4 linked regions of the Alligator mississippiensis genome follow. Each later gene encodes a partner of the first gene's protein in a complex. Links are inferred from orthologs where the notes say so. Each region holds a gene or a part of one and is shown on either strand. Other genes may lie near its edges. The genes, in order: ARPC2, ARPC5, ARPC1B and ARPC3.

Evidence for each region.
Region 2: ARPC2 (region 1) and ARPC5 share a complex: the UniProt entries of both Homo sapiens proteins name them as parts of the arp2/3 complex. The link is inferred for Alligator mississippiensis from reciprocal best matches to the Homo sapiens genes ARPC2 and ARPC5.
Region 3: ARPC2 (region 1) and ARPC1B share a complex: the UniProt entries of both Homo sapiens proteins name them as parts of the arp2/3 complex. The link is inferred for Alligator mississippiensis from reciprocal best matches to the Homo sapiens genes ARPC2 and ARPC1B.
Region 4: ARPC2 (region 1) and ARPC3 share a complex: the UniProt entries of both Homo sapiens proteins name them as parts of the arp2/3 complex. The link is inferred for Alligator mississippiensis from reciprocal best matches to the Homo sapiens genes ARPC2 and ARPC3.

The regions. Positions count from the first base shown.
Region 1 is NC_081827.1:253,618,893-253,626,764, reverse strand, and holds the start of ARPC2 (actin-related protein 2/3 complex subunit 2), read right to left. Parts: upstream 3,014-7,872; 5' UTR 2,886-3,013; coding exon 2,812-2,885; intron 1-2,811. UniProt on the Homo sapiens protein: Actin-binding component of the Arp2/3 complex, a multiprotein complex that mediates actin polymerization upon stimulation by nucleation-promoting factor (NPF).
Region 2 is NC_081828.1:54,673,326-54,680,972, reverse strand, and holds the start of ARPC5 (actin-related protein 2/3 complex subunit 5), read left to right. Parts: upstream 1-4,637; 5' UTR 4,638-4,781; coding exon 4,782-4,925; intron 4,926-5,492; coding exon 5,493-5,564; intron 5,565-6,602; coding exon 6,603-6,779; intron 6,780-7,361; coding exon 7,362-7,424; 3' UTR 7,425-7,647. UniProt on the Homo sapiens protein: Component of the Arp2/3 complex, a multiprotein complex that mediates actin polymerization upon stimulation by nucleation-promoting factor (NPF).
Region 3 is NC_081836.1:53,629,563-53,637,435, forward strand, and holds the start of ARPC1B (actin-related protein 2/3 complex subunit 1B), read left to right. Parts: upstream 1-4,857; 5' UTR 4,858-5,089; intron 5,090-7,873. UniProt on the Homo sapiens protein: Component of the Arp2/3 complex, a multiprotein complex that mediates actin polymerization upon stimulation by nucleation-promoting factor (NPF).
Region 4 is NC_081833.1:2,196,638-2,203,985, forward strand, and holds the start of ARPC3 (actin-related protein 2/3 complex subunit 3), read left to right. Parts: upstream 1-4,345; 5' UTR 4,346-4,435; coding exon 4,436-4,441; intron 4,442-4,561; coding exon 4,562-4,661; intron 4,662-7,085; coding exon 7,086-7,162; intron 7,163-7,348. Other genes in the region: GPN3 (GPN-loop GTPase 3), read left to right, coding at 325-387. UniProt on the Homo sapiens protein: Component of the Arp2/3 complex, a multiprotein complex that mediates actin polymerization upon stimulation by nucleation-promoting factor (NPF).

The sequences.
Region 1 (7,872 bases):
GTCACTGAACTGCTCTGGTCAAATTAATTTACATGAAAATGAGTCTGTCCGTAGCTGTGGATGTGGTACCTGCTAGCAGACACTGACAGCCCTTTTGCAGAGTCTGAACCCAGCTGCTTAGCCAGCATCTTCTTCCTGTTCAGCAGTTTGATCCTCTGAAGCTTTGGCAGGAAAAGCACAGCTTGAGGTTTCCCCTTAGTTTAAACGATCTTAAATTATGTCGAATTGAGGCCTTTTACCCCAGGCTGTCAAAGCCTATTTTAAATATAGGTTTTAAATAAAAAGCCATTGATTTTGGTCTTCTTCCTACCCAATGCTGACGATAGCTCTGGCTGCACATTCGTTAGGGTTGCCAATGAAATGACGAGTCCTTCATTTCCATCTCTTAAGTTAAAAAGGCTCTTGATAGTGCATCCATCAGCAGGCTAATATGTCTTCTCCTGGACGGCTGGGACTCAGGGCATGCTCAGAGTGGACTATCAAGAGCTGTTTTCAATCACCAGCTCTCGTGACCTGAGCGAGAGACAGGAGGAGTTCAGCTCTGGCCTGCAGGCAACACGTGGAAGCAGACCAGAGATGGATGAAGGGCAGTCATAAGCAAAGGCTTCACTCCCCCGGGGGAAGAGAGGACGCTTTTAGGGGAGATGTTTCAGGCCATCTCTGCTGATAGGACGTTGCTCATCTAAGATCGCAGAGGTGCTCCCAGAGACACTCCCAGTGTAATAATGGCACCTAGGCGGCATATAGGAGACCTCGCAGGCGAACGACTCTGCTTGCCAGCTTTTCCATGACATCTCATGCGGATGCTCAGCACACAGAGCGAGCTCACACTGGGTGGGATTTCGGCAGTCTGCTCCACCACCGCATCACAAAGGGCAAAGATGCCTTTCACCTAGGGCTCCCCAAGCACTTGACAGCCCAGATACCCTCTCCAGTTTATGGCTGGCAACACACGGGTTAAATGATGCACCAACGTCACAAAGCGAGTCGGTGACAACGAATCTGGGATGTAGATCCTCGCCTCCCAGTCTGCACTTCGACCCCGAGACCCAGCTGTTGCAGAGGCTGATGGCAAATTCACGTCTGTCCACTGCTAATGCATCAAATAGGGAATACATGCGGTCTGCTGCATAGCGAGAGAGGATTCAGGATGCCTGTGCTCTTTTCCTTGATCATCACGGCCCCCTCATTTTGCCCCTATCCAGACTACCCTGCAACTGTCCCCTAGAAATGCCTTGATCAAACAGCTGAAATAACAGAATAAAAAATTGGCTGGAGGGCCACACCCAGAGCGTGGTGGTTGATGGGTCGCATTCGACCTGGAGGGCTGTGGGCAGTGGGGTCACCCAGGGCTCGGTCCTCGGGCCCGCGCTGTTCAACATCTTCATCAGAGACTTGGACGAGGGGGTGAAAAGCACCTTGTTCAAATTCACAGACAACACTAAGATGTGGGGGGATGTGGACACGCTAGAAGGGAGGAATAGGCTGCAATCGGACCTAGACGGGTTACAGGGGTGGGTGGATGAGAACAGGATGGGTTTCAACACTGACAAGTGCAAGGTGCTGCACCTGGGGAGGAAGAACCAGCAGCAGACCTAGAGGCTGGGAACTCCCCTCTCGTCAGTGCAGAGGCAGGAAAGGATCTTCATTATTGATGCCAAAATGAACATGGACCGACAGTGCGGGGACACGGTCAGGAAGGCCAACCGCACCTTGTCGTGCATCCACAGATGCATCTCGAGCAGGTCCAAGGAGGTGATCCTCCCCCTCTACGCGACACTGGTCAGGCCGCAGCTGGAGTACTGCGTCCAGTTCTGGGCACCGCACGTCAGGAGGGATGTGGGCAGCATGGAGAGGGTCCAGAGGAGGCCACCCGCATGATCAGGGGGCAGCAGGACAGGCCCTACGAGGAGAGGCGACAGGACCTGAACCTGTTCAGCCTCCACAAGAGAAGGCTGAGGGGGATCTGGTGGCCATTTACAAACTGGCCAGGGGGGACCAGCAGGCATTGGGGGAGTCCCTGTTCCCCCGAGCACTACTGGGGGTAACAAGGAATAATGGCTACAAGTTGACAGAGAGCAGATTCAGACTAGACATCAGGAGGCGCGACTTCACCGTCAGGGCGGCCAGGATCTGGAACCAGCTTCCAAGGGAAGTGGTGCTGGCTGCTGCCCTGGGGGGCTTCAAGAGGAGGCTGGACGAACACCTCGCCGGGGCTGTCTGACCCCAGCGCTGTTTCCTGCCAGGGCAGGGGGTCGGACCGGACGATGTGCATCGACCCGACCGACGACGAACTCTGAAAGAAAGACACTCTGCTATCTCCGCGGTCCCCTGCCCAGAACCAGCTGCTTGGTTTCCAACGTTTGGCGTTTCAGGGACGGCAAGAGACCTCCTGTCCTTGCTGCACAAGGCCTACACCATGAGACCGGCGTCTCCCTACACCCTTCGCCCGGGGCCTGCCTACACAGGAGCGTCTTGGTATCAGCTAGAGAAAAAGAAGAAATGCAGAAGTGACAACTTCCTCCCCAGGCGGCGGCGGCGGCGGCAGCGGCGGCTCCACCAAGACGGCGCAGAACCGACGCGGGGTTTTCTGTTTCGGAGCTAGACGTCTGCGTGCAGACAAGAGGCCGAGGGATCGCAACCGGGACGGACCGGACCGGCGCCGTGCGGACGCGGACCAGCCTCGGGCGGAGCCGGTCGCTGACCCCAACCCCCAACTAGTGGTGCGACCCTCAACCCCTCCCCTCGCCTCACTCCTGCCCCTCCCCCACCCAGCGCAGCCCCTCCCCCACCTCAGCCCCTCCCTCTCACCCGGCGGCCGCGCCGTCGAGCTTGAGCGCGAGCGTCTCCTCGATGATGCGGTTGTTGACCTCGAGCAGGATCATGGCGGCGGTCCGGCGCCCGGTGTGGGGGGGGGGGGTCGGACGGCGGCCGGGAGGGGTCTGTCAGGCGCCGGAGCCCACTGCACGCGCTGCGGGGCCGCCCGAGCTCTGCGCCGCTTCCGCTTCCGCTTCCTCGCCCCCGCCCCCGCCACTCGTCACTTCCGGGAGGCGGCGAGGAGGCGGAAGTGGGCAGGAGAAGGGCGGGCGGGCGCGGGCCGCGGGGAGGTTGTGCGCATGCGCACCAGAGACGCCTTCCTTGGCCCTGCAGAGCATCCACGTGTGCAAGGGAACTGCACGGGTTCCGCAAGGGTGTGCGTGGGATGCACGTGTGCGCGGGCATGGGGTTTGCACGCGTGCCAGAGATCCTCACACGTGCAAGGCATCTGTAGGTGTGCATGAGATCCGTGCACGGCTGTGGGATCCTGACGTGTGCCCGGGATTGGTACTGTTACCTGGGATCCGCATGGGTGCGCAGGTGCTATCCATGTGTCTGGGATCCATGTGTGCCCGGGATCCGCATGTGTGCCCGGGATCCACACGTGTGCACAGGTGCTATCCGTGTGCCCAGGATCTGCATGTGTGCATGGGATGGACCCGTGTGCACAGGTTCTATCCATGTGCCTGGGATCTGCACGTGTGCATGGGACGGACCCATGTGCCTGGGATGGACCCGTGTGCACAGGTGCTATCCATGTGCCCGGGATCTGCATGTGTGCATGGGACTGACCCGTGTGCCTGGGATCGACCCGTGTGCACAGGTGCTATCCATGTGCCCGGGATCTGCATGTGTGCATGGGACTGACCCGTGTGCCTGGGATCGACCCGTGTGCACAGGTGCTATCCATATGCCCGGGATCTGCATGTGTGCATGGGACTGACCCGTGTGCCTGGGATCGACCCGTGTGCACAGGTGCTATCCATGTGCCCGGGATCTGCATGTGTGCATGGGACTGACCCGTGTGCCTGGGATCGACCCGTGTGCACAGGTGCTATCCATATGCCCGGGATCTGCATGTGTGCATGGGACTGACCCGTGTGCCTGGGATCGACCCGTGTGCACAGGTGCTATCCATGTGCCCGGGATCTGCATGTGTGCATGGGACTGACCCGTGTGCCTGGGATCGACCCGTGTGCACAGGTGCTATCCATATGCCCGGGATCTGCATGTGTGCATGGGACTGACCCATGTGCCTGGGATGGACCCGTGTGCACAGGTGCTATCCATGTGCCTGGGATCTGCATGTGTGCATGGGACTGACCCATGTGCCTGGGATGGACCCGTGTGCACAGGTGCTATCCATGTGCCTGGGATCTGCATGTGTGCATGGGACGGACCCATGTGCCTGGGATGGACCCGTGTGCACAGGTGCTATCCATGTGCCCGGGATCTGCATGTGTGCATGGGACTGACCCGTGTGCCTGGGATCGACCCGTGTGCACAGGTGCTATCCATATGCCCGGGATCTGCATGTGTGCATGGGACTGACCCGTGTGCCTGGGATCGACCCGTGTGCACAGGTGCTATCCATATGCCCGGGATCTGCATGTGTGCATGGGACTGACCCGTGTGCCTGGGATCGACCCGTGTGCACAGGTGCTATCCATGTGCCTGGGATCTGCATGTGTGCATGGGACGGACCCATGTGCCTGGGATGGACCCGTGTGCACAGGTGCTATCCATGTGCCCGGGATCTGCATGTGTGCATGGGACTGACCCGTGTGCCTGGGATCGACCCGTGTGCACAGGTGCTATCCATATGCCCGGGATCTGCATGTGTGCATGGGACTGACCCGTGTGCCTGGGATCGACCCGTGTGCACAGGTGCTATCCATATGCCCGGGATCTGCATGTGTGCATGGGACTGACCCGTGTGCCTGGGATCGACCCGTGTGCACAGGTGCTATCCATGTGCCCGGGATCTGCATGTGTGCATGGGACTGACCCGTGTGCCTGGGATCGACCCGTGTGCACAGGTGCTATCCATATGCCCGGGATCTGCATGTGTGCATGGGACTGACCCATGTGCCTGGGATCGACCCGTGTGCACAGGTGCTATCCATGTGCCTGGGATCTGCATGTGTGCATGGGACGGACCCATGTGCCTGGGATGGACCCGTGTGCACAGGTGCTATCCATGTGCCCGGGATCCGTCTACCACCTGCAAGAGCCTCTCTGGCTGCTGGCTGCGGGCAGGGAGCAGGCACGTGCTGGTGCCGCCTGCGCCGCTGTGCAGTTTCCGGGGCTCGGTGTCGGTGCGCTGGCAGGAGGCAGCACAACCCAAGGACCCCATCTTCGTCGTCCTGTCGTCATCTCCAAGGCTCCCTCCTCCCAGCTGAGGGGGAAGCCCATGACAAGCCCTCCAGGCGCTGCGCTATCCTGCCGCCTGGCTGGAGGGTGCCGGCTGCTCCGGTGAGGAAGTCACTAATGAAAGTCAAACATGTCTGTTTTTGCAGGGGTCTCGCTGGAAAGCTGCCCAGACTTAAGTGTGAGCGCGTGACACCTGTGTAAGAATGAATCCCCAGGAAGCCATAGAGAAAAAAACCCAATTGCAATGCCACATTTCTAAAAGAGGTGGCAAAAGTTACACCCCCCCGACCAAAGCAAAAGGTGAGACTTGCAGCAGCAGCAAGGCAGAGCGCTGGAGATCCCGAGAGATGCCTTGACGAAGAAGGGCCGCGTGCTGATGGAGACGCCGCAGGGCCTGATTTGCTGTGGTATCAATGAGCCCAAGGTGTGGATGGAGCGGTACGCCGTCCTGACGGAGCAGCAGGTGAGAGACCTCATCTCCGTGCTGGAGGAAGCCAAGTTCATGGGAGATCCTTCCAGTAAGGAGCTTTATGCTTTATCTAGAATCTGAAGACAAATCCATTTATCTGGGGCCACAATTCTGGGAGACTCCGAGTCACCTTGAGGGAGATTCCCAGCCGGGGACTTCAATCCACGAGGCCTCTCGCCTCCTGGGCACGTGGGACATCCCCTACCAGTCAGTCAGCTCCTATGTTGCCTGCAGGGGGGTGATGGTGAAAAACAAGGCAAAAAACTGAAACAAGTCAAAATTTCATTGTCTAGTGACTGCGATGCTAAATGCTGAGTATGAGTTTGAGCTGACCCTACGGCACTGGGGAGACTACTGATGCCAAAACCTCGAGCAGGGGCGGGGAGCAGATGCCAAAACCTCGAGCAGATGCAAGCAGGGGAGATGCTCCAGCTGTGGGGAGACGGCGAGGAGCTCCGTCTGCAAGAGCGCCGTGCCTGACGAGCTCTTTGCTTGTCTGAACAACCGGAGGTGAGTAACGTCTGTCTCTAGCAGACGCCCTTGAGCGGGGGTTTCCCTGGGAGACCTGGTGCCTGCAGGGCCCAGCGCCATTGCAGGACGTGCCTGCTTCTTTCCATGCCTGGGCACTGGTCAAACGGGGGACGTGCCCAGCTAAAACTTCAGCCAGCAGCCCCAGCCCACGGCCGCCCCCTCCCCACCGCTATCTCTTCTGACGCGGTTCAAACATTGGTATCACTGATTTGCAACAGCAAGTGCAAGCAGCATAGGCAGGGCCTAGGCTGAATGCTCCCTGGGAGGCAGCAGCCTCATCAATGGGCATGTGGAGGGTGCCAGGGACCCCTGCAAGCTGGACCGGGGCAGGTGAAGGGAGCTCAGGGCACCTGAGCCAAAAAAAGGTTGAGGTGACGGTCACAGCATCAGAGGGGCCTGCAGAAGGGTGGGCGCGTAGTGGGATCACCATGGAAGGCGACAGGAGCGTTAACACTTTAGACCTATGAAATAATTTCCCCCTTTTCTTTTTTCTCCTTTAATGAATTATTAAGGAGGAGCACTGATAAAATGCTGAGGAAGAAGTTGCTGCCGGCCCAGGACAGGCTGCAGCAGCATGTAGTGGCACTTGGGGTAATAGCTGATGCTGTGGACGAGGTTCACAGAGAAGCCACGATAGCAAATGTTGCTGGAGGGAGAGCGGGCATCACGGGCAGGATCACCCACATTGTGGCGCGCTGCATTGTCCCCGAGACCTTTGTTGTATGTCTGATGCTCTCCAGCAGACAGCTTGTCATCTATATAGTAGGCAGTGCGATGGGTGCAGCAGTGACTGCCTCCGACATATCACTGGAGAGTCAAGCCAAGAAGGGGGAGAGAAGCAGGATCCAGACAAAGGTCAGGCTGTGCTGAAGCAAATCCAGAAGTGCATAAAACAGCTCTCTAACGAACAACAGGATTCAGAAAGCAATTTTGATCATGATCTGCTGCTTATGATCCTGCAAATTGGGTCAGCAGCAAGGTGGACCGCTCTCAACACCATGAAGATGTTCAAAGGTGGAAAGCGGCTGAGTAATGCCGGCTACGTTGCAAGATTCGCAGGAGCTAACGTGTGTCCTGATAACCCTGAAAACCTGATCCGTCTTCTGTGTAGTCAAGAACTTCAAAGATGCCAAAAGAGAGCTGACATCTGAGATCCGAGAGACAGCCGCTGAACTGGAGCGAGTGATTTACCAAGCCAACTACACGTATGAGGCACTGATTGGAAAGAAACTCAAGACGACGCAACACTGCTGCTGGGTGCTGGCACCGGTGAGGTTGCAGCCCTGCACCTTGTGCCCCACCATCGGCACAGAAAGCTGGGGGGCATGTGCCCCCCCATGCATCACATACGGCGAGAGACCAGAACCAAACCGTGAGGAATAATAATGGGCCTGAGCATCCATCTCCAACGGCTGCAGCTAGCGTTAAAGGGACTCAGGACCTCACCCAACAATGTGCGTATGACTAGCGAGAACATGCAGACAGTGCCCGTCCTGCAGGCCTCGGACATGGGCAGTATCTGAAAGGCCACGATGGTAAGAAATCCTCCCTTCCAGCAGTGTATCTTGCCCCGGGACATCAATCCCAGCTAACTGGCACCTTCCCAGTCCAGAGGAAACCTGGTTCAGGCCCTTTCACAAACATCAGTGAAACCAAGAAATGTGACTTAAACCCATCCAAAA
Region 2 (7,647 bases), on another chromosome or scaffold:
AAATAACTTTTATAGTCAAACTGGTAGTAACTGGGTATATTTTTCCTTCTCTGCTTCTCCTTCCTCCCATGCTCTGCAGCAACGCTTCTTTTACCTAAGCTAAAGATCTCTGTGAAGCCCCAAAATACTGTGGGTTCTGCTCATCAAGAGGCTAAAGATTGGGACGTGCTAAGTTTGAAACACATAAGGGGATCAGCTTGCATAGACTGATTGACCCAGTTTGACTCAGACATGCCCTAATGAACTGAATGCTGGCCCATGAGGGTGTCAGCTGGACACCCAGCTGGATTTAGAGGGATTCTGTTTACCTGTGTGCTTGTGTCTGACTGCAGTTTATTGTTGCTCTGATGAACTGATTCTTGGCATATGAGGGTGTCACAGCCTGTCCATGCTGATCAACCCGGCCGGGTCAGGCATGTCACGTTAATCTGTGTGTGTTTGTGAGTATGACTGATTTGGTGACTGGAGGAACCCAGCCCCATTGAAACTGAGTCCTGCAAGATAGCTCCATTGGGGGTGAGGACTTGCAGAAGGGAGATATACAGCTCCATATAGAAACACAAGTAACACAAGCAGCACATTGACAGAATTGCCAAGACCCTAGAAACGTACCCTTAATAAATGAGCACGCCCCGAAGTAATGGGCAAATCTGGTAACACTCCATAACCTCTACCTCAACTTCTTCCAAAGTGCCTTCTGGAGAAGGAGACCTGGCTCTAGGGGAAACTTGAGGGGTGTGGAGCACAAACTCAGATGATTCCCCCTCCTTCCCCAGCATTTCCCTTGCTATGGCACTCAGATCCAGCTCCAGCTCCAGCTCTTCCTCTGGCACTGTAAGGCTCAGGCTGGAAATTAAAATTGGGTTGGAGGAGACTGCAATGCTGGTGCTGCTTGTTGCTGTCATGGTGGTGGTGCTCAGTGTTGCAAAGAAAATTGAATCTGTTCATGTGAAGTCGACCAAACTCCCAGAAGTCTTTTTGAGATGACTCAAAATTGGCAGTGACTGTGGCCTAAAGTTAACCCCAGTAAAATGCCAGGGAACATGGAACATTTAAAACAATGGAACAATAGAACCTTAAAATAAAATGATAACCTGGTAATTTTGGGGAGTAATTAATTTGGGGATGGGAAAAAAAACAGGAAAATATTCTCAAGGTGCAAGGATGTGCTATTGTATTCTTAGGATCTATGAGCCAAAATATTATATAACAAGCTTGGCTAGCATTAATAATGGTGACATCACTAAAGGGTTAAACAGCCTAAGCAGGTAAAGTTAGCGTTTGCTGTTCACTGTTCGTTGTATGGATTTCTGAGGGAGACACCTGCATGGATCTCTAAAGGAGAACCAAGCCTTCGGACTTGGAACAACAGCGTAACCCAGGAAGCTTTCCCAGAATGGCTGCATGAGGGAAGTAACTCTTCTGTAACAGCTCTAGACAGATTGTGAAGTAGTGAAGGGTCACGATAGCGCATGCAGTTTTTGGTAACTGTCTGCTTATATTCTGGCAATCCCAGTAAAATTGACTACTCGTATTCTGGCATCCCCAGTTGATGAATAGCTTTGTGCTTAGTAGATGTTTTGTAGTCAATAAAGTTTCTGACTGTTTATCGAACGAGTGCCGGTGGTTAATCACAGAGTTCTCCTAACCCACAGAGAAGTAGGGTTTAAATGAGCTACAGCCCAATACTCGGGGTTGTTGTTATTATGGCAGGTGTTATTGGAGGGGATGCAGACACTGCTCCCATCTCCTTGGTGCACTAGCAGCAGAAGCGGCATGGCTGCTAGTTGTTGGAAAGAGACTGCATCTAAGTTTGGGGGGGAGGGGAATTTAGAACTCTCCCTCTGCCCCCTTTTCATCTGAAACAGTGAAACAGTTTTGGCAAAACGAAACGGAACAGCGAAACAAAACATTGTCCCTTCGAAATGGCAAATCAAATCGAAACGAAACACTGCCATTTTGTACAACCCGTTATTTGATTTCCACAATGACAAATAAATGCCAAGTTAACACTTCCCCAGTCCCACTTTCCCACTCTTGGCCAGTTGAGAACCTTTCCCCATCTTAGCATTTGTCTGATACTGCATACTCTTCAGTTACTTTTTAGGAGTCCCTCACTCCCAGATGGGTGGAAATCCTTATAATCCCTGTCTACTTCAACACTCTTCATTCCACTAGCTGGCTTCTGCCATGACAATGGCTTATGGAGCTAGCTGGCCCCTTCCTATTTCTCAAAATGAAGCAAGAGAGAAGAAAAACACAGGGCAGATGGGAGGGGTGGCAAACGTGAAAAGAAATCTCCACCTTTGTATTTTAAGCCAGAGAAACACAGAACAGAACAAACTCTGGAAAGAAGTAGTCAAGATTCTTATTCCCAGGCTTCTGAATAACTGGGTGGTGCTTTCCCCAATTTACCTCCAGGAGCCCCATGTGGCAATGATATATGAGGGAGGAGCTGGCTTAGCTGGCTGTGGAACACTAGAAGTCACCATTACTTGCATCAGAGATGAAGATCTCTTCAAAAAAGGGGGCAGCCTGCACTCCTAGACATGTTTAGACAAAGGCCTTGCATTTTACAGGCAAACTTGGACTGAAAAGAGCCCTTAAAAAGCATATTTATAGGGTAACCACCAGAAACTGTTCACTAATCAGAATGCTACACTGTCTGAGGGGTACTGCCACACCAGAAATTAGGCAAACATTCCCTTGTAGCTTTCATTAGTCATAACACCCCAAAGCAAAAATGATTGCAAATAAACAAAAATTTGACTTCCTTCTCTAAGCTGGGAGATGTGCAAAGAGTAAACACAATAAATGTATAAATTACATGAATTAGAAAAAATGCTCTAATTGTCATGAATCTCTTCTGCAAATAGATGTGGATTTTTGTTCTTTAAACTCAATAGCATCTCTTTAATCATATTGTAAATCACCATGAAGAAAATGTTGAAGACAGCTCACTTTCTGGCTGGAAAGTTTTGGAATATTTAAAGTCAGGGACAGAGCTCTGATAAGGGTTGGAGAAACGGAGCATGATTTCCCTGACACTCTCTGCAAATGAAGCACCGAGCTTCCTTGAACGTTGTATGTTCCTGCACAAATTCTTGGCTGGGCAATGAATGTACTGCAGGCTTCCCACCACTGGGTGGGTGGGGCTTGGCCCAGTGGCAGGGCATGGGCGACACTGGGCCACTCCCAGGGCAGGTGCTGGGCAGATCAGCTCATCCAGGGATGCGTGTGGGTGCTCCCATCACTAAAGCCCCCCCAGCACAGCCCTGGATGGGCCGACTGGCACAGCACTGCATGCATCCCACGGGCAGGGGACAAGGCGGGGGAAGAGAGGGGCACATTAGATGGCAGGGGCAGTGATATGCCTGTGCCCTGCCCCACCTGCTAGTACCTCTCGCTCTGGATCCGCAGCCCCTGCTGGTGCCCGCCCTGCACTTCAGACCACAGCCCCCTCCCACCCCAGCCCTGCTGGTGCCCCACACTCCCAACGCGCAGCCACCTCTGCCCTGCACATGATGAGTACCCCTGAAACTTTTATAGGTTTTTTTTATACTTTGGGAACAGCTGTATGTTTTGAAAAAGTATTTTATCTAACCAAGGGCATAGAGTAGGTTGTTTAGGCTGGGGGAGATCGCTTGTTGCCTAGTTGCTTAATTGCTGGCCTTGCTAGAGGGAAAGCCATATCAGCAAGGTCCCTGAGGGGTTGGAAAGGGGGGTTACTGGCTGAGCTTGCTGAATAACAGGTGCCACATCAGCAAATTACACTGTCACGAAGGCAAGTTCAAACTGACTAGGGAAGGGTCTGTAGCTAGGGTGAAGTGCGCATGGACTAAAAGGGGCAACCTATAGTAACTGCATAGCGTGTAAGGCTAGAAGAGGCTATATAAGGCTAATGCCCACTCGGGTGGGTGTGCTTGCTTTGCGAACGATTGCCAAGCACCACTTTCTGCGCAGAAATAAAGATTAAGTTGGATCCTTCACCCCTGTGTGTTTATTGGCACAAGTGCACCGGGCACGAACTCACTGTCCTTTGGGGACAACACACAGACTGGGGGGGGGGCACATGCCCCTGGGCCTCTGCTGGGGTGTGTGCAGCAGCAGGAGCCCCCACCACGCGCCATGATGAGTATCCCGGCTGCATCCCTCACATCACTCAGCCAGGCCAGGGCCCCCCTCACCCCTGCCCCACTCCCTCCCTCCATCAGCTCCCCACCCCTCCCCCATGAAGTGGCCTGCTGGGTGGGGGTATGGCAGGCAGATCCTGGGTTGCCCCTTTACTTCAAAAAGTGATCTTCACCCTAAAAAGGGTGTAGACCACTCACGTAGCGATGTAAAAGCGGCTGCTGAGACGCCCGCTAACCGGCGCCCCCCAGGTCTTCCCCACAGGGGACTCGGCTGACGACCTCCCGCTTTGCCAGAGCTCCCTCCTGCGCGCCCCGCACGGCGGCCAGAGCTCAGGGGGCGGGACGAGGCTAGACCCCACCCCATGGTTTCGCCTCAGGCGCGGGAGGGGCGGGGCGGGGCCGGGCCTGGCACCGCCCAACCGCCAACGGCCCTCGAACCCCGACGGTTCCGGGACAAGGCCTTCTCTTTGCGCACGCGCACCGAAGGAGCTGGAGGCAGAGGAGGGCGCATCGCTACAGCGCGTGCGCGGAAGTGCGAGGCGGAAGCGGCGGCAGGAAGTGGCGGCGCGGGACGCCGGCACCGCCCTGCAGGAACGGAGCGAGCGGCGCAGCCGCGACAGGGCTCGGGGCAGGGGCCAGGGCAGGGCGATGGCGAAGAACACGGTGTCGTCGGCGCGGTTCCGCCGCGTGGACGTGGACGAGTACGACGAGAACAAGTTCGTGGACGAGGAGGACGGCGGCGACGGCCAGGCCGGGCCGGACGAGGGCGAGGTGGACTCGTGCCTGCGACAATATCCTTCGGCGCCCGGCAAGGAGCCGCGGGCCTGGCGGGGGCAGGGAGGGGGCGCGCTTCGCGGGGGCGGGGTCGTGCGCGGTCCTCGCCTTTTATGGGGAAAACGGCTGCAAGGGGCGGGGCCGCGGCCCTCGGCTCCTCCCCCGTCTCCATGGCGATGGAGGTGGCGTGGCCCTGCCGGAAGTGGGGGTTTAGCCACAGAGCCGCCTCTGCCTCCCCTCCCCCCCTCCCTATGGCCCTGAGGGGAGCTGGTGCCAGTGTAGGGCGCAGAGGAACACACCAGCCTTGGTGCTCGCTGCCCTTTGGGCAGACGGCCCTACCGAGGCTCCTAGAAATTTCCAGATGCCCAAGTCTTGAGTGTAGCAGCAATGGGCCAGCCCCTCAGCTCCCAGAAGCTGTGTCCGCTGGCTGCCTCACCGGAAGCCCCCATAACCTCCCCTGCGCTTGATGCCGCCTCAGAGATCCTCCAGCGGAGGGTTGTGCGGGGAGCAGGTTATTCATGCCTTGGGGTCAACTGCTGCTTTCCAGGTGCTTGTTTCCCCTCTTTGCCTTAACCTGTGTTCACAGGGAACATGATGGCTGCACTGCAGGCTGCGCTGAAAAACCCGCCCATCAACACCAAGAGCCAGGCAGTGAAGGTGAAGCAGGAAACAGCCATTCACCCTCATGCTTGCTTGTGAATCCTCACCCTAATGCTCTAATACCTCCCCCACCGTCCATCTCCCTCCCTCCCTCCTCTCTCTCTGTGCATGTACAGCTTATTTACATGCTGCCCTCTTAGCTAAGCTATTTTCTGCAAGCCTAATCTTACCAAAGAGTAGTACAAATTGATCGGCCGCTGCATATAGTCAACAACTCTCCCTTCCAGTGTAGACTGCAAATGTCAGCACTCCCACATTGGACAGTGCTTTGAATATATCATATGCTCCTACTGTTTGGCTGCCAAAAGGCTCCCCAAAGCAAATTGAGTGGATAGTGATCCCTTGCAGATACCTAATGCAAAGGCGACAGATGTGCGGTAGGTATAGAAATCATTCAGATTATACCACTGCCCACTGCTCTGTTTAAAGTAGACGTCTACTCCTCTGTCATTTTAAATTGGAGTTCATTGGCTGTACCAGATTCCCCAATCAATTGAAAAGGAATTTTTTCCCCTCACAGTCAGCCATGTGAATTTATGAAAGACTTGAGAATACAGACATTACCACAAAGATGACCTCACAGGCAGTTTTGTAGCCTCAGCAAACAGAAGCAGAACTTGAAGAACAGACAGAAAACCCAGAAGAAGACAAACCTGTTGCTGTCTTCACTTGGTTTGTTTTGAGACTGGATCCATAATAACATTTTTGGCTTTCTTATAATCAACTGATAAGACCAAGTTTAAGTAACTTGAGTACTCTTAAAGCTAAATTTGTATTACTTATCTTTAGGTTCATTTAGAATTGTAGATATGTGGCAAAGCCAGCTGAGCTAATGTTCTTCTGTTGTATGTATCTGTTATATAGTATGATTCGCAGCTTTGTGTTTCAGCTGTCTTAAATGCGTTTTTCAGTAGTTGAAAATGGAATGTTGTACCTCCTGGTTTGAAGAGATCTTTAACATTTGGGCACATGCCATATGAGTATGGATGGGTTTGGCTCCCAGTAGTGACCTTTTTTTCCTTCACTTCTTTACAGGATCGGGCAGAAAGCATTGTCTTGAAGGTGCTCATCTCTTTCAAAGCCAACGATATTGAGAAGGCAGTACAGTCTCTAGACAAGAATGGAGTCGACCTGCTAATGAAATACATCTACAAGGGCTTTGAAAGCCCCTCTGACAACAGCAGTGCAGTGTTGTTGCAGTGGCATGAAAAGGTATGTTTATAGGAGAAGAGTCCTGGTGGTCTGGTAATTCACATTAGTGGACACCCTTGTATCTAGGACTTGGTCTTTTTGTTGAGGCCAATAACAACCACTGTTTCTTCCTCCTGAAATACTACTGTCTGTATGACATCAGGAAAGACAAGGTTCTACTTGGAAAAGTGTGAATCATACACAAACGTACTACATATCTTTGAATATAGCCTTTAGAGCTGATGTTTGATGGCATTCAATGAGACTATGAAGGTGATGAAGTAGTCAACCGTAAAGATTAAAGCAGAAGGTTTAAATGGGAATGGAATGCAGAAGTTTTGACGCCCCTCCTCCACCACTGGCTCTTAAAGAAATAAGAGCTTGCAAAAGCAAGCTCTCTTTTATCAGTGCAACTTCCCCATCTGTAAAATAAATGTAGTAATACTTCTATATTTCACAGTGCTGCTAGTTTAGTGTTCCTAAAAGCACTTGAAGATGCTGAGAGGAAATGCGCTGTGAAAGTTCCAAATACTTTTAGCAGTTAATTGTTCCAGTTTGAGTTTACCTTGGCTCTTATTTAGTGTTATTTCTCTATTTTTTCAGGCTCTTGCTGCTGGAGGTGTAGGGTCCATTGTCCGTGTCTTGACTGCCAGAAAAACGGTTTAAGTCCAGCAACAAGTGGCTGTCTGCTATTGGTGTGGGAAATGCTGGTACAAAGACCAAAAGAACCAAATGTTGTCGCTGCCCTGTGGGTAGCATCTGTCTCTCTCAGCTTGCCTTCTTGCTGCTGCTTTCATATCTGACAAAATACGCATATCTCATTTCCTTTTGTTAACCTTTGGATAGTATAGAGGTGCAATTTAATTTCTAATGGGAATATTTGGTACTT
Region 3 (7,873 bases), on another chromosome or scaffold:
TGGGTAGACAAGGTTCTTTGGGTGAATCTGATATCTTTTATTAGACCAACTTAAATAGTTGGAAAACAATTATTAAGCAAGCTTTTGGGTTCGATAACCCTTCATCAGGCTAAGGAAGTTTCAGCAGTTAGGTTGTAGGAAGAGCACACGCCACACCCCTGGTCACCTTGGGTCACATTTTCAAAAGTGTTCTGGTGATTTAGAAGCTTAAGTGTCTGTGGAGCAAAATGAGATTTAATTTCCCAAGCCCATTGGATGCTGCTGGAAGTGTTATCCCTCATTTCCTAAAAGCTGTAGCAGACACCAGGGTTCAGAAATAGATGGCACAGATGAAAGGGTGTGAAGAGATTCTCTGAAGGCACAGTGGAAAGCTAGAAAGCAGTGCCCCTGTTGAACAAGCTCCACTTATAAAGGAACAAGCAATCTTATCAGCTTATTGTCCTACACCCCACCCTGGCTGTAAGACTATACTGCTGCAGCGGGTTTATTGTCAGCTGGTTATGTGTGCATCCTGCTCGGTTGTCTGCGTGACTTCCTGAGCTGGAACTGGATCCACAAGGAGCATAAACAGACACAGAGAAATTGCAGCATTTCAAGCTGTTACTTGGTGAATACCTTCCTGAAACTGGGGAATAGAAAGCTCTGCCAGTTGGCTGTGGAACGTCAGGTGAGTTGAGTGATGTGTGTGACCTGCCGTGAGCCCCTTTCACTTGGATCTCCGTGAGATTCCTTGCAGTAGGGATTAATACGGCCACGCAGAATGTAATTTCAAATCCAATTTGCTTTCCACTACACAAGTCAGTTATACAGTTGGGCCAAGTATCAGGAGCAGACAGCCTTCATCTTGCTTCCTGCAAGAGTCCAGAGCTGTCAGAACGGGCAGCCTGATCTTGACTTCATGCTCCTAATTTGCTCACCCCACATCCTGTGATACTTCCTTCAGTAAATCAATCTCCCCTTGCTTGCGTTATGCACGGGCATGAGTGCCAGGCAGGCTACGATAAGGCCTGAAGCAAAACGGCTGAGCCACTTTCAACAAGTGGCTCTTTTCCCTGCACGTGTAACTCATTTGTTGCAGCTATAATGGAAAGTGCTTTGGGTTCGTTATGATTTTGCCTGTAGCAACTCTGTGAAAGAGCTCTTGGTCTCTGAAGGAGCTGTAGTGCTGGCTGGGCCTTGTGCATTCAGCTGATCAAATTACAGGGCTTTGAACTACAGCGTGTTGAAAACGGAGGATGGAGCCAAGTGGGTATGACAACTTAAAATTGAGCCCATGATTTTAGATTCTGATCATTTTCATTGTGCTCTTGCTTTCTAAGTGGGCTTCCAGCTTAGGTGGATCTTCTTTTCCTGTCCTCATCCTTCATAGGCTCCTGTCCATCACCCTCTCTTCTGAAACTTTTCATATATTGCTTTCTCCTGGCCTGAACCTTTTCCTGCCTGCTCTTCAGGCATCCTGGCTACATGCCCAAACATCTCATTATGTTGGGAGCTTTTGTTGGGCCTGGGCAGTCTGTTCTATTTTCTTATCTAGAACAAAGAAGTCTTGGGCCTCAAGCACAACTACAGTAGAAGCAAGAGTAAAGGTATCTCAAGGTGCAACCAGATGATGGATGTCATAGCTCAGGCTTGATCATCTGTTTGGGGCTGAACAGGCTGCAGGGGTCTGAGCCTTCCTCTGAGCATTGTATTAAGCTCTGTAGAAGTCCCCATTGAAGTTTAGGCATTTAGAGCCACCAAATTGGCCCTGCCTGATTGTAACCACCGCTAGGCACGTGAAGAGGGAAGGAATCGGGGTGGTGTTGAGGATTGCCGATGCTGCCTCTGGAAGCAAACAGCACAGTGCACGTGTGATACTTGTAGCTTGTCCTGTATAATTGAGGTGCGAGCCCTACTATGGGAACAACATTCACGCTCCATTTTACTGGGGTTAGGCTGGGCTGAGGGAGCGGAGCCAGACCAGCCTAAGTAGTTTGGCCAAGGTGCACGCAGTGATTCAATGGCAGAACTGGGACTAGACCCCAGGAGCCCTGGTACCTATCCCTTCTGCTAGCAACCCCCACTTACTCTCCTGCAAGTTAGACAGCGCCACGGTACCCTGGAGAAACACTAGGTTGTTCCAGGAACCGTGCATATGCGGCAGTGCCTGTTTTCTGTCCTTGTGAGTTGCAAAAGAGCTGAAGAAGCATAGCAGGAACCCAGTCATGATCAGAAGCAATGAGGAAGTGCAATAGCAGATAGGGAACTGTGCAGGGTGATATTCTTAGCTCTGCTACTTTGAGAGAGGGGTTCCTTGCTGCAGAAATGAAGCTGACCTGTCATTTGTTCTCAGCCATGACCGTGCAGCACCGAAACATGCTGAAATGTTACAGGCAGATGGGTTTTCTTAAACACGGGCATATAGGGGAGAGCCTTCTTGTCTGGTGCTGGAATAAACCTGCTTTCTTTCTCAGGTCCCCCGTGACTGGTGATTAGCTGCACTATTCCTGTAGCCCGAGATGCTCTGGTTGCAAGGAAAGGGACTCAGCTTACGGATAGCCGTGTTCAGGGCAGGGCTCCCCAGACAACAGCTCAAAGCAGCACAGCTGAGGTACAGCAGCTTCTAGCTACCAGCAGGACAGCGTGAGGTTTGAGGACATGAAACATCAGGTGAACTACAGCTCTCGGTCTTGAAGTATCTGTTGGCCTGGGTGGTCGTGCATTACGAATCAAATCAGGTGGTGAGGAGTGGGGCAGCTGCCAGCACGTCTAGGAAAGTTTTGTACTCTCCCAGCCCATGTAGCCAGGTCAGTTATGTGCATCTGAAACAGGGAGGCCTGCTGCCAGGCTAGTCTTGGAGCCATCCCATTGTGGGGGCTGCTGTGGTGGTGTCCCCCCAGCTTAGGCTGCTGCAGTGCTCCGAGCCTCTTGCAGGCACTGTGCTATTGGGTTCAGCTGGGATTCTGCTGGAGGGGGCGAAGATGAATGAAATGGGGAAGCAGTCAGGACACTGGTAGGACATCCATACCATCATTTCAGCATGTTCATCCCCCCTCTGGCAGTGCCCCTGGCAATTAATACTTGGCAGTGCTTTTCAGCCTGTGATCCATGGACCCTTGGGGGTCTGCGAGCCCCGTCAAAGGGGTCCATTAAGATGACTGATCAATCAAAAGTATGTAAATACCTACACTTACAATTCAAAGGGGTCCGCACCTCTATTTGAAATTTTTTAGGGTTCTGCAAATGAAAAAAGGTTGAAAACCAACCAGTGCTATACAGCATTACACAGGTTGGCTGTGGACACTTTGGTGGTGACTGCTTTGGTAATGCATGTTGTAGGAGTGAGCAGAAAATCCTGTCAGTGTATTATTTTGTGCCTTTGATCACACTCTGGTGGCTTTTCACTTGCTAGACAATTTAAGAAGGAAAGAAGAGACAATTTAAGGAGGAAGGGAGGTGGGGTCAGAGGAATCCCCTCCTGTATTATGATGAAAGCTATTTTAAATCCATTATATGCTAATGAAGGGGGGCTTGGAAGGAACTGTAGGCCTCAACCATCCTTAAAAGAGCAGACTGCCCGAGTACACTGCTCTTTCAGCTGGTTGGCTTCAAAATGCGCAAATTGAGAGCATCCCTTTAAAAAGTTAGAGCCAACGTCTGCTAATCTTGCTCCAGATGTGGAGCACAACTGCAAGCTGTTTCCTCCAGAGACCCGAGTTCGGGATTCCAGGGTTCCTGGGCTGGCACTGCCAGGGGTTGGAGCATCGGAGGAAGCTGTTTCCTATGCTGCTTTCACTCCTTGTAATGACTGTTGCAGAGGGGTGTAGAGCTCTGGTCGGGGCAAGTGGCTGCTGGAGGTGGTGGGGTGGGGGTGTGTGCATGACTTTTAGTGACTTTGCATGCCAATTATAGCCTAAAAGCAGCAGGGGAGGAGGTCGGGGTTGCTTTTGTCCTGTGGCTACTTTACACCACAGCATCAGAAGAGACCAAAAGATACTTCTTGAGAATTGTTTCTCCACAACTTCCCCTTCCCCTCCACCCCCCTGCCACCAGCCTGGGGCTGCTGCAGAGCAGGCCAAGCCTGTACTGACCCTACACGCTGACTCTTCTGGTGTCCCAAGGGCTGGAGAGGTCATGGCTGCTGGATGCCAAGGTGGGATAGCCCTCACGGCTGCCTTAAGCAGTGCTGGGGCTGCGCTGTCCCGAAAAAGCTGAGAGGAACACAAGCCACTTGTCTTGTGTCCCTGGCTCAGGCCCCAGGCTGAGGGTTAATTCCTCCATGACTCTAGACCTTACATAATGTAGCTGTGTTTTACCAGTGTCCCAGCTCCCCTTCCAGGCTGGGAGAGCACGAGGAGGGTGATGCCCCTGTGGAGAAGCCTGATTTTGATCTCACTCACACCAGTCTTACACCAGCATAACACCCCTGACTTTGCTGGAGCTGCTGGTGGCAGTGAGGGGGAGTCAGGCCCCGCTCTGCTGGGGCCTTTAACCCATGTCCCTTGGCAAAGCCGGGAACCCAGTAGTTCTGGATGCTCATGTCCACTTACCTCCCTCTTGCTCCCTGCCAGCTCATGAGCACTGCAGAGAGAAGAGGACAAATCCTTTCTTTGTCATCCGTCTGCCGTTCTCTGCCCCAGCCCTTCGGTCTTCCAGTCTCCGTCTGAATCCAGGTCCCCCTCCGATCCAGCAGGTTTTGGCCAGATGTGGACCCTGAGTTACAGGGGCATCTCCCAAGCTGTAGCAAGGGAAGCCTTTCCTTTTCCAGGTTCTAGCATTTCCACGTGTCGGCCGCCAAGCCTCGCAGACGGGCCTGGAAAGCAGGGCCAGGGCTCGCGCGCACAGACCCAGCCTTTCAGAGGCGGTTGCTGCTGCTGCTGGAGGCAGCCTGTGCTGCTCGCTGCCGTTCCCCAACGCCCACGCAAGGAAGTGGTTAGATTTCTCAGAGAGGAAAAGGGAAGTGGGACGACTTCAGACAGCGAGCTCAACTTCTGCCTTTCATTCGGAGCTGGCTCAGCTGCCGTTCGTGTCGACTGCCCAGAGTCCGCGAACCAGCTGGCCCCTGGAGACAGGACCCCTTCCCCCCCACCTTCCTCCTCTCCCTGTGAAGGTGAGTTGTCAGGGTTTGATTTTTTTTTTTTTTCTTTTCCAAGGGAGTAGGAAGCCGGTGCCTCTAGCGGAGCTGCTGGCAGCACATTCGACCCCTGGGGTGGTGCCCCCAGAAGAAGAACAAAATCTTTGTTCCGTGTATTTGCTTAATACAGGAGCAGTGCTGGGCTGGGAACAAACTTCCTGCCTGATACTGGCTTGTCCCCTTCTGCTTTGCAGCCATTGCTCCTCAGGGCTGATTTTCCCCCTGCACCCCCCGGTTCTCACAGGCTGTGTTAGTTTTGTGGGAGGCCTGAAAGCTCAGCTGATGTGGAAGGGTCCCGAGCTGAGCTTCCCCGGAGACGAGTGCAAACGGCGTGAGGCATGACACACCCCGTCTCCTGGCTCCCGCTCCCAGGTTTTTATCTGGGCCCCCTCCCTGCGCCCTCAGCCCGCTTGCTGCCTGGGGCCGGCATCACGTTGTCGAACTCGCAGAGTTACTTCTGCTTTAGGCCCTGCTGTAGGTGAGAGGAGAACCGGAGCCCCGACTGGCTTTTTTCTTCCCCTCTTTGGCTTTCCCTTTTGATCCTGGCACTGCCTTTTGATGCAGGAAGGTCTCTGCCCCCAAGCTCAGGGTGCTCCGGCTTTGTCCAAAAGGACTGGACCGATTCCTCTTTGAATGCTAGGCGTGTTAGGGGGTCACGAGCCATCTGGGATGCAGGTGCAGGGTATGAGCTCTGACCTGTATGCTCCCTTAGCAGCTGACGCAGGTGGGCTGGTGGGCAACATGCTGATCTGCTGGGCAGTGGGCTTTGTGAGTCTGGGTTTGCTGCTGAGCACAAGCACAGCAGGATTTGCTTTGGGAAGTACAAGCCATCAGCCAGGCAGAAAGCTCTTCTTTGTGGCAGGTTTCCTCAGGATGAGCTGTGCTGGAGCAGGCAGCCCCAGAGCCGGGAGCCCGGGGAGGGGGAATGACTTTGGTCAGTCATTTGGGGTAAGGAAGAGGAAGCTTGAGACTCCTGAGCCATTTTCACCCAACCAAGTGTCTTCCCCTGCCCCCCGTCCTGGCTCCTCACCCTGCTGATGTATTATGGGGGCACTTAAGTCATGGGCACCTTCTTGCTAAGGGACTAAGTGAACTCTAATCCTAGGCAAACATGATTGTCTCCAATCTCCCCTGTCACTTAAGTGTCACTCCTTAATGGGAGTTTGGACCTGAGTCCCTTTTTGGGATGTGGGCCTTAAAGTTTTCTATGTATTCCCCCCACCTCAGAAAAGGACTGATCACCTCCTTAGGTGATCCCTGGGGTATAATATCTTTATGGCAGTGTCCAGGCCAGACGTGCTGTGAATGTAGGGGAGCGCTATGGGGAGCAGCTCTGCCTTCTCCAGCCCGGGCAGCAGGAGTCCGGCAGAGACCTGCAGTGCGGTGTCCCAACCCTGGACTGGGACAGGAGCCTCTGGGATGGATTTGAGGTCTGATTCTCAGCCTTGGGTTTTCTGTCCCACGACTGAAGCAGTCTGTCAGAGGAAGCAGGCTTACCCCCGCCTTTAGGTACTTAGCAGCAACTGCCCCTGCCAATTTAAAGGGCAGTGTTGATAAGGACTGGAGAGATCGTGGCTTCTACCTACTCCAACATAGCCTCTATCCATCCCCCTGTTATAGCTGCCCACAGGTGAATGAGCTATTGAGTGGGGGGCAGGACAGACCTCACTGCTCAGCATGGGGGCAGGGAAGGTAAAATAGTATCTGACGCTCCTATGTGCTGACCACGACTTCCTGCAGAGCCAGGACACCCGCTCCAGGGGAGGTGGCAGTGCAGGGGTGCAGATCCAGCACTTGCACTGTGACGGACTCCAGCCCCGCACACAGCAAACGCATGGAGGCTCCTTCCATTGAGCAACTTCCTCAGCCTAGATCAGGCGTTGCCAGCTGCTCTGCTCCAGCCGGTGCTATTCTCTCTCCCAGGATGTTTTTTAATCAGTGAGGGCCTCAAGCCTGACCAGAAAAGGAGTTCCAGAGGAAGATATCTGAGCCATATCAGCTCTGGAGATCCACTCCTCTTGGCATTCCCCAGCACGCAAAGGTTGTAAACTTCCGTGGCTTTCTGCTGGAGAGAGCCAAGATCTGCTGGTTCGAGGGCTGTAATGAAGCAGCTTCAGCAGTGAATGGGACCAGCTAGTTCAATGGTAGTTCAGAGGTAAAGGTGCCCACCCACGGGGAAATCATTGCGTAGGCCCATTATTTTCTGCTGCTTTGTTGTATGCAGAGGTGGCTGGAAAGCTCAGTTTTGGTTATATGGTCCCTACTTCTTTCTCATGTTACATGCAGCTTGAGATCTTGTGTGCTCAAAGGAGGACGGGGAGAGCCAGGGGGGCTGTAAAATGCACTGCCAATGCAAGGGAAACATAAATGAAGGCAGGATGAGATTATTTAAGTTGTGTAAACCTTATTGTTGTGCAGCTTATTAACAGCGATTTAATAGTTGTTCTCTAACAACAGCTGGAATGAAACATGTGGGGGCACATGTGCTCTCGCACTCTCCCTCAAACTATTCAGTGCCCAGCCCTTCAATTCACGGCTCAAAAGCAAACGGTCCAGTACGTTCTTTCACAAACAATGGAAGAAAACACTTGGTATTTCCAGGCTAAAAATAATAAAACAACCTCTTCCCCATGCTGCTTTTTTTTTTTTTTTTTAAACTTCTCAAATCATCTTGAAGCATCAAAAAGAAAGGAGGAGGCAAAAATCTCCCCTTTTTCTCCCTTTGCAACTCACTTAAAAATAATTGAAATACTGGCTGTA
Region 4 (7,348 bases), on another chromosome or scaffold:
AGCCATATCTAGTTGCATTGTTATTCAGAACAAATACTTCCTACCACCTTATTCCGCTCAAAAGAAAAACCCATTTGCTCCGCACTCTTTGAATACATAGAATCCCTGAATTTAGATTTGGATCCATGGTAACTAGCACCAAGGTGTTTCTAGGCTGACTGTTGAAACCAAATTGCTTTTCAGTGCTCCTTATAATGTGGGGGTGTGGAACTGTGTTAGTGCATTCATTCCTACTGCAGGAAAAATGTCATGGAACAGAGGATTTACTGCAGCGACAGAAGGAAATGGAACTGAATGTTAACTTCTTTATTTCCTTTCTGGCAGGATTGTGAAGAAGTTAAATCTTCTCTTGTTGATGAATATTTTCAAGATCAAGTGGACGAGTAGAGAGAGTGCATTTGAAAAGAGGAGTTGAATCGCCTGGTTGTAAAATATAAGTTAAAAATATATCTCAGAATATATTTGTAAGACTATTTTTTAAATATATAAATATGTGGTGGAAAACTTTTGTAAATCTGCTGGAAATTAATCCTTTATCTTCCACATCATTACATCAATAAGTAGTTTTCATTTTTGCATGTACATATTTTGGCATAAATAACATTCTTACAGAATCTTGAATTGTTTGAAAAGTATAGTGGTTGTAAAGGAGCACTGTCAAAATAAAAAAACATAGACTTTTTTTAATAGCTTCTATCAAGCCAACTAATTACTTGTACCAAGGGATGAAAAAATATAATTGGTTTAACCATTTCTGCCTTTGGTTCAATGCTTGTATTTCGCTACATTTAGACAACTTAGAATGGAGTTGTCTCTCTCAGTCTTCAGCTTGTCGTAAATCAGTTGAGTGCTCTTGGGTTGCAGTTTAGGGAAGCATTTAATTCCCCAATAACATTTTTTTAATAAACATCATGAAAATATTGAAGCTAATAGGAGTCTGGTGATCAGTCTATCTTGCATGAATAGATGTAACTGTTGAAGTCAACATTGCTGTCCCTGGTTATACCAGGTGCCGGTTGGTCCATGGAATATTATTAATTCATCACCAGTTTTATTCTTTTAAACAATCTACATTTTAGATTTAGGCAACTTGACAGTGTTCCTCTATCTTCCAGATGTTCTGAAATTCCCTAGTTAATGGTAAGTTCTCTGCAAGAGAAATCTGGCTTAAAAAGTTGACTTGATATTTTAAATTTATGGAGCCGTTCCGAAAGTTGCAAGCAGTATTTCCTGCAGGAGACCGTAGCGTTCTGTAAAATATGTAGATGTGCAAAAAGATTTTTTTGGGATGTCCTAAATTTCATTCCTTGAATAATGATACTGTTGTGTACAATATATAGTTTGTACAGGAAAAATAGTGATAGCTGTTTCTCCTTTTAACTACCTGTTTTGTAAGACTACGGCTGTTCATGTTCAGATTTCAATTTTCTGCACATTTTAACACAGCTATAAGTCTTATCTGGTATGTTTTTAGGGATACTATTACGTTATTTAGGCTTCACACTTTTTACCTGGGGTGTAACATTAGAGCTTCAGATCACATCACTGATTGCTGGATCACAGTCAGGTTTCCCCCTGCTTTCAAACCCTTTGTCCAGCTGGGCCCCGTGCACTGTGTAGAGCCCAGCAGGTGAGAGACAGGGATGCTTGTTTGGAAAGACTTGCATAACTCATTTGTGGCTCTCCCACTTGTGAGTAATTCAGTCACCTCAGATTCATGTCGATCATCTTTTTTTGGGTGGGGACCAACCTTTGTGATACATCTGCCAAAAAGTGAGCTCTGCATCCTCCCTGGATGCCGCCCCAATCCCTTTCCCTTGTCTGACCTGTTGCTCTACTTTCTGCTCCCTGCCCCATCTGCCACTGTGTTCCCTGCTTCCTCCCTGATCTGTTGCGTGCCACAGACAGTGGCTCCCATGCCATTTGTGGTACATGCTGCAGGTTGGGCACCCCTGCTTTATATCATCTCGATGCATTGCACTTCACTAAGGGAGGTTGTAGGAAGAAGGCTAGAATTGCATGTTTGAATCTGTATATAATATGAGGCGCTAGATAAAATCAGCTCTGCCAGTGTCAGGTGCATTAGGGAGAGGAAGGAAAGAACTGGATAGGACAGTGGGTGTTCATAATGGCAGTTGTGCTGTGAAGCTTGGTGGACCAGGTTTTCACCCTTATTTTCAGACTTCGGGGGCATATCTTAACAGGGGATGAGGAATAGAGTAGCAGTTGGTGTTTGTTTAAAATCCATACAGGGGACCTTTATAAGTCACTTTTAAATTGCTTAATCCAGCCAGTGACCTATTCTATGTATATAGTGGTCCTTCTAACATGTTCCCTCATGCATTAAGGATCAGACTAATCCTTAGAGGACTATGGATCTCAATGCATATGCTACTTGAATAGGAGCTGCTGAATTTAGCTGTATGTAATGCTAACACTTTTGGGCAGCCTTTCCCTCACCCTCCAATAAGGTAATGCTTAAAGTAACTTTCCACTAACAGTTGAAATGATAGAGGGAAGAATCGGCATAAAACAATTTATTTGCCAAAAGGTAAACTGCGTTGTTCAAATAATTTAATCATCCCAGCTGCAGACGGTGTGCTTTGTAGACCGGAAGTCAGTAGCCAATAAGGTAAACTATAGCATATCATTCTCCCTATAAAAATTCTTAAGTTGTTGGTGTTTGTATTAACCTTGTGTAACAGATCCTCCAGAGCCTTTGCACAGAAATAAGATCTCAGGGCCTTATCCTAAAAAGATGTAAGTATGCAGCAGACTTTATCCCTGTGGCCTAGACTCAGTGACTGCTCAGGTTAAAAGTGACTTAAGAGTTTCATAGTGTGTAGAAATGGGCCGTGCATCTTTCCTGTATGCAGGTTCTGTATGCCCCGGCCACTGCGCCCATCAAGCCTCTCCAGCTTCTGTAGGATCATTCTTGGGTCGCCTCTTCCATACTGGTGACTACTGCACAATGTCGTGATGGATGGTGTTTCCACAAGCATGGAATATTAACATTAATGATTAAGTACATAGGAGCTGCAAACAACAGGTCAGACCATAGGTCTGTCTTGCCCAGTCTCCTGTGCTGCACGGGGGCAGAGAGTGGGTGCTGGAAGAGAGACTGAACTGGGTCTGAGCCAGGTTTTTTCCTCTGTTCCTCTCTTGCAATCTCCAGCACTGAAGACCCAGAAAGGTCTGCTTAGAGGCCATGCCCCTCACTGCCGTGCGCAACAGTGCCAGTGCCCCTTCCTTTGAAGCACGTGTCCAGTTCCTTCTTGAATTCAGCTAGACTATCACTTTCCACATCTGGTGGCCATGAGCGTACGCTTCAATTCCACGCTGTGTAAAAAAGAACATGTGTGTTTGTTTTAAACCGACTTCCACCTTGTTTCATGTTGTGACCCCCATGTCTTGTCAGGTGATGGAGTCTGAGAAATCCCTATTCACTTCCTCTTCTCCATGTGGTAGTTTGTAAACCCTTCTCCTGGCCCCCCTCAAGCCTCTTTCCTAAGTGGAGCAGGCCTGGCCTCAAAGGCAGCCCCTCCATTTCTGCTCATTATCCTTGTTGTCCTTCTCTAGTTCTTCCTAGGGTTGCCAACCCTGCAGGATTGCCCTGGAGTCTCCAGGAATTAGATACAAATCTCCAGGAGACAAACTGCTGAGAGTCAGCCAGGAGAGAAATGATAAGGCATTCATTCAAATAAACAGTAAATGTTGAATTTGAATTATACAGCAGTCCAATGGGTTTTTTAAAAATGTAATATAAATGTGCATTTGCCTTTCCAATATGAAGTCTATGCACTGTAAATGCAAGGACACGGGCATGTCCATGTTGGTGTGCTGATAACTTCCCAGGATGGATTCGGACACCGTTGCAACCCTTAGTTTCCTTTCTGGCAGGAACGTGAAGAAGTTAAATCTCCGCTCGTCGATGAATATTTTCTTCCCCCTCCTGTTGGAGGTGCGGGCACCAGAGCCGGGGCTGCCTTCAGGGCGGCAGCATGATGCTGTCTAGAAACACAAACTAAACCACGGTTTCTGCGTGGACACATCCCAGGCGCAGCACCCACGCCAGGCCAGAGCGCGCTCCTTCCCTTCCCGCCAGGCCAACAGCCCCTCTGCTTCCAGGTCTCACCCAGACTTTTTTTTTGAATGTAATTATTATTGAACTATATTCCTAGATGTGGAAGATGAGGGCTCTCTCTACATCAGGCTCGTCTCTCTGGCTGTGGAGAGCCGAGGACCCTGCTTGTCTTCTTTCTGTTCGACTGCCCCAAGCCTTCGCTGGTCTCCCCCACGCGCCGGCTCCCGCGCTCCTGGGCTGGCTCCGCCCACGGGGCGGGGCTTGCATCCGCCCTCGCCCTTCCGGGGCGGGGCCGGAAACGGCCGCCCTCCAGGCGCGGCACTTCCTGCTTCCGAGCGCCGCGTCCCCGCCATGCCGGTAAGTGCGGGGAGGGGGCCGCGGGTGCTCCCACCCCCGGCGGGCTGGGGCTGGGGCTGGGGCTCGGGCTCGGGCTCTCCTGCCGCCGCCGCCACACCCGGCTTCTGCCTCTCTCCGCAGGCCTACCACTCCACGCTGATGGACCCGGACACCAAGCTGGTGGGCAACATGGCCCTGCTGCCCATCCGCAGCCAGTTCAAGGGACCGGCGCCCCGGGAAAGTAGGTGTCGGGCCTGCTCGGGTTGGCAGCGCAGGCTTTCGGGGAGCAGCCGGGCTTGCGCCCCCCAAGAGGCGGCTAGAAGCCGGCCGTCCTCTCCCCCCGGTGCTGCTGGACCCTCGCTGCGCTGCGGCGGGGTCGGCGGCGGCCCCTTGCTTTCTCTCGCTCTGCGTCGGTTTAAGGCGAGCCTCTTGTGGGAGGTGGGGCTGGCTGAGGGCTCTGGAAAAGCTCGGCGGCCTGGGGAACCGCCGCCGGGCAAAGCCTTTCCAGGCTGGTTGCGACCCAGGAGAGATCACGGAGACTTGCGTCATTTATGGGTGCTGCGCTTGGTAGCCTCCTTCAAGGCGCCTCGTAAGCCAGCAAGAAACCTCATCGATGCCAGGAGCTGCCGAGGGAGCAGACCGCTGCTTTGCAAACTGAGATGAGCTTTGAATGCCTGGGTTTGGCGCACGCTGTGTGCGGACAACAGGAGCAGAACTGTGCCGATGACCCCCCTACACGTGAACGTGGGCCAGTGTGTTGGTGGTGATCCAGTCTGTCCTTTTCCAACCAGCGAGCTAGCTCATCTGACTTCTCTTTTTAGCTCCCGTTCACGTCTAGCTGTCAGCTCGAGCGTTGTCTCCCCGTACCGTCCCCTTGCTTTAACTCTTCTGCAAACCCCCCCTCCCCCCCGCAGTCGTGGGTTGTTCCTTTCCCCGTGAATGGCTGCTTCCTTTCCCTCTGTCTTTGTTCAGGCCCACTTCTTGCCTCTAGGAATTACAGGTCAAAATCTGGCTGCAGCCTGGCTTCTGTCAGGCTGTCTGTGTGTCTGGTGATGGCAGGGCTCTGCTGCTGTAACTAGATCTGTGTGGGCAGATCCATGTGAAATCCCGTCTGTGTTAACGGGTCTGGATAGGCACACGGTTCTGCCTCCACAGATCAGTTGGTGGATTGGGGCCTTCCAGCTCCCTGGGACAGGGGCCACAACTGCGTATTTTTTATACCATGAGTAGCATCAGGGCGTGAGGGGGAGAATGTCGCTTGCTTATTCCAGTGGGGTCTAGGGATCAGCTGAGATGAGCCCCATTTTTGCCAGGCGGTGCTTAAATGCAGAATTCACAGTCCCAGGGAGCTTGCAGTAGATGTAGACGGCAAGGAACAAGGTGTGCTGCACAGGCAGCATGAATAATGTGGTAGAAACAAACTTTGTGGTCGCCCTGACTGAGTGGGGCCTCTCGGTCTAGATTAATAGTGAACGCAGTGACTTCCTCATCTGTCTTTTAAATGCTCAAACCATTTTGGTTTGTCTTCTCTCTTCATGCCTTCAAAGACCCAAAGCTTACGGTCTCCAAGGAGATCCAGCTCTCGGTTCTCTAATTGCTTTGCTTTTTAAAATGTATTTTAAGCTTCTCATTCATTTCAAGCTAGGTTTGCTGTGTCGTGCAGGAGGACAAGTTTTGCTGTGGCCTCTCGGGTGTGGTTTTCACTAGGTAGCTGATGAGTGGCATGTGTCGTGTTAGAGAAATGCATCTTAGATTAAGAGGGTGAAAAATTAGCATAGTCTTCAGCTAAAAAAGCAGCAACGCTGAAGAGTGCCTCTGCTGCTCTGTACAGTGAGAAATGGGGGAGGCAGGCCCTGTAGTTGTAACTTCCTTCAAAGTAGAACTGAGAACCCGGAAGTGGTGGTGTCTAGATAAAATTGTTCAAAAACCACAGGGAAGGCTTTATTTAGTGCTTGTTTTAATGCTGTTTCATTATCTTGTGTCTCTGTTTTCCACAACTGCTCCACAGCATTATACCATTTCAATGCTGAAAGGGACCAACCTCTAGATCTAGGTGGTTTGTGTCAACTGGTGAAACCCAAAGCCTGCTGGATCTAATGTTATGAGCTTGCTTGTTATCTCTCTCTCTCTCTCTTTTTTTTTTTTTTAAATGAGGAAGGTGAAGGATTATGTTTCTCCTGATTAATTTTAAATTAGTCTTTTTCTTCCCCTCCTCCCTTAGACCTGATCTCAGAGGGCATTATAATGATAGCTATAACCAACATCCTCTTGTAATGATAGTAGACTTGTTGTTATTTCTCACTAACGACTGAAAGACCCATTGGGAATTACCGAGCAATCACGGCAAAAATGGACAAAACAAAGCTGCTTGCTTTACTTGGGCAAGTACAAAGCTTGAACTCATTGCTGTTCAAGTGGTGAGTGGCTGTAGCCTGTGCTCCTTCGTGCAAATAAAGGCACGTTAGTCATATGGGGCATGACCACAGCACTACCGCTGCTATCAAATCTTTGCTGAGAACTGGGATAAGTTATCTGTAGCATCATATTTCGTAAGGATTTTATTTTTCTACAGACTAGTGAAAAGAAACAGTGGAATTTTTACTGTGCATCTCGGCCAGTCCTGTACACCTGCATCTTGGTTAACTTTCCCTCTCTTTCTTGTTAGCAAAGGACACAGATATTATTGATGAAGCAATCTACTACTTCAAAGCAAATGTCTTCTTCAAAAATTATGAAATTAAGGTAAGAAATGTACCTTTAAGGTATTGTGCACATTTGTGGAGGCTGGGACTTGACTTAAACATAGAACTGTTTCACTGCAGCACTTGTGACCCCCTTGAGAGTTTATATCTTTTTGTGTATGGTAAAAATGCAAAGAAACAATTGTTTTCCTTTCTAAAAGAAGTTGGGTGAGGAAACTCCTCAGGA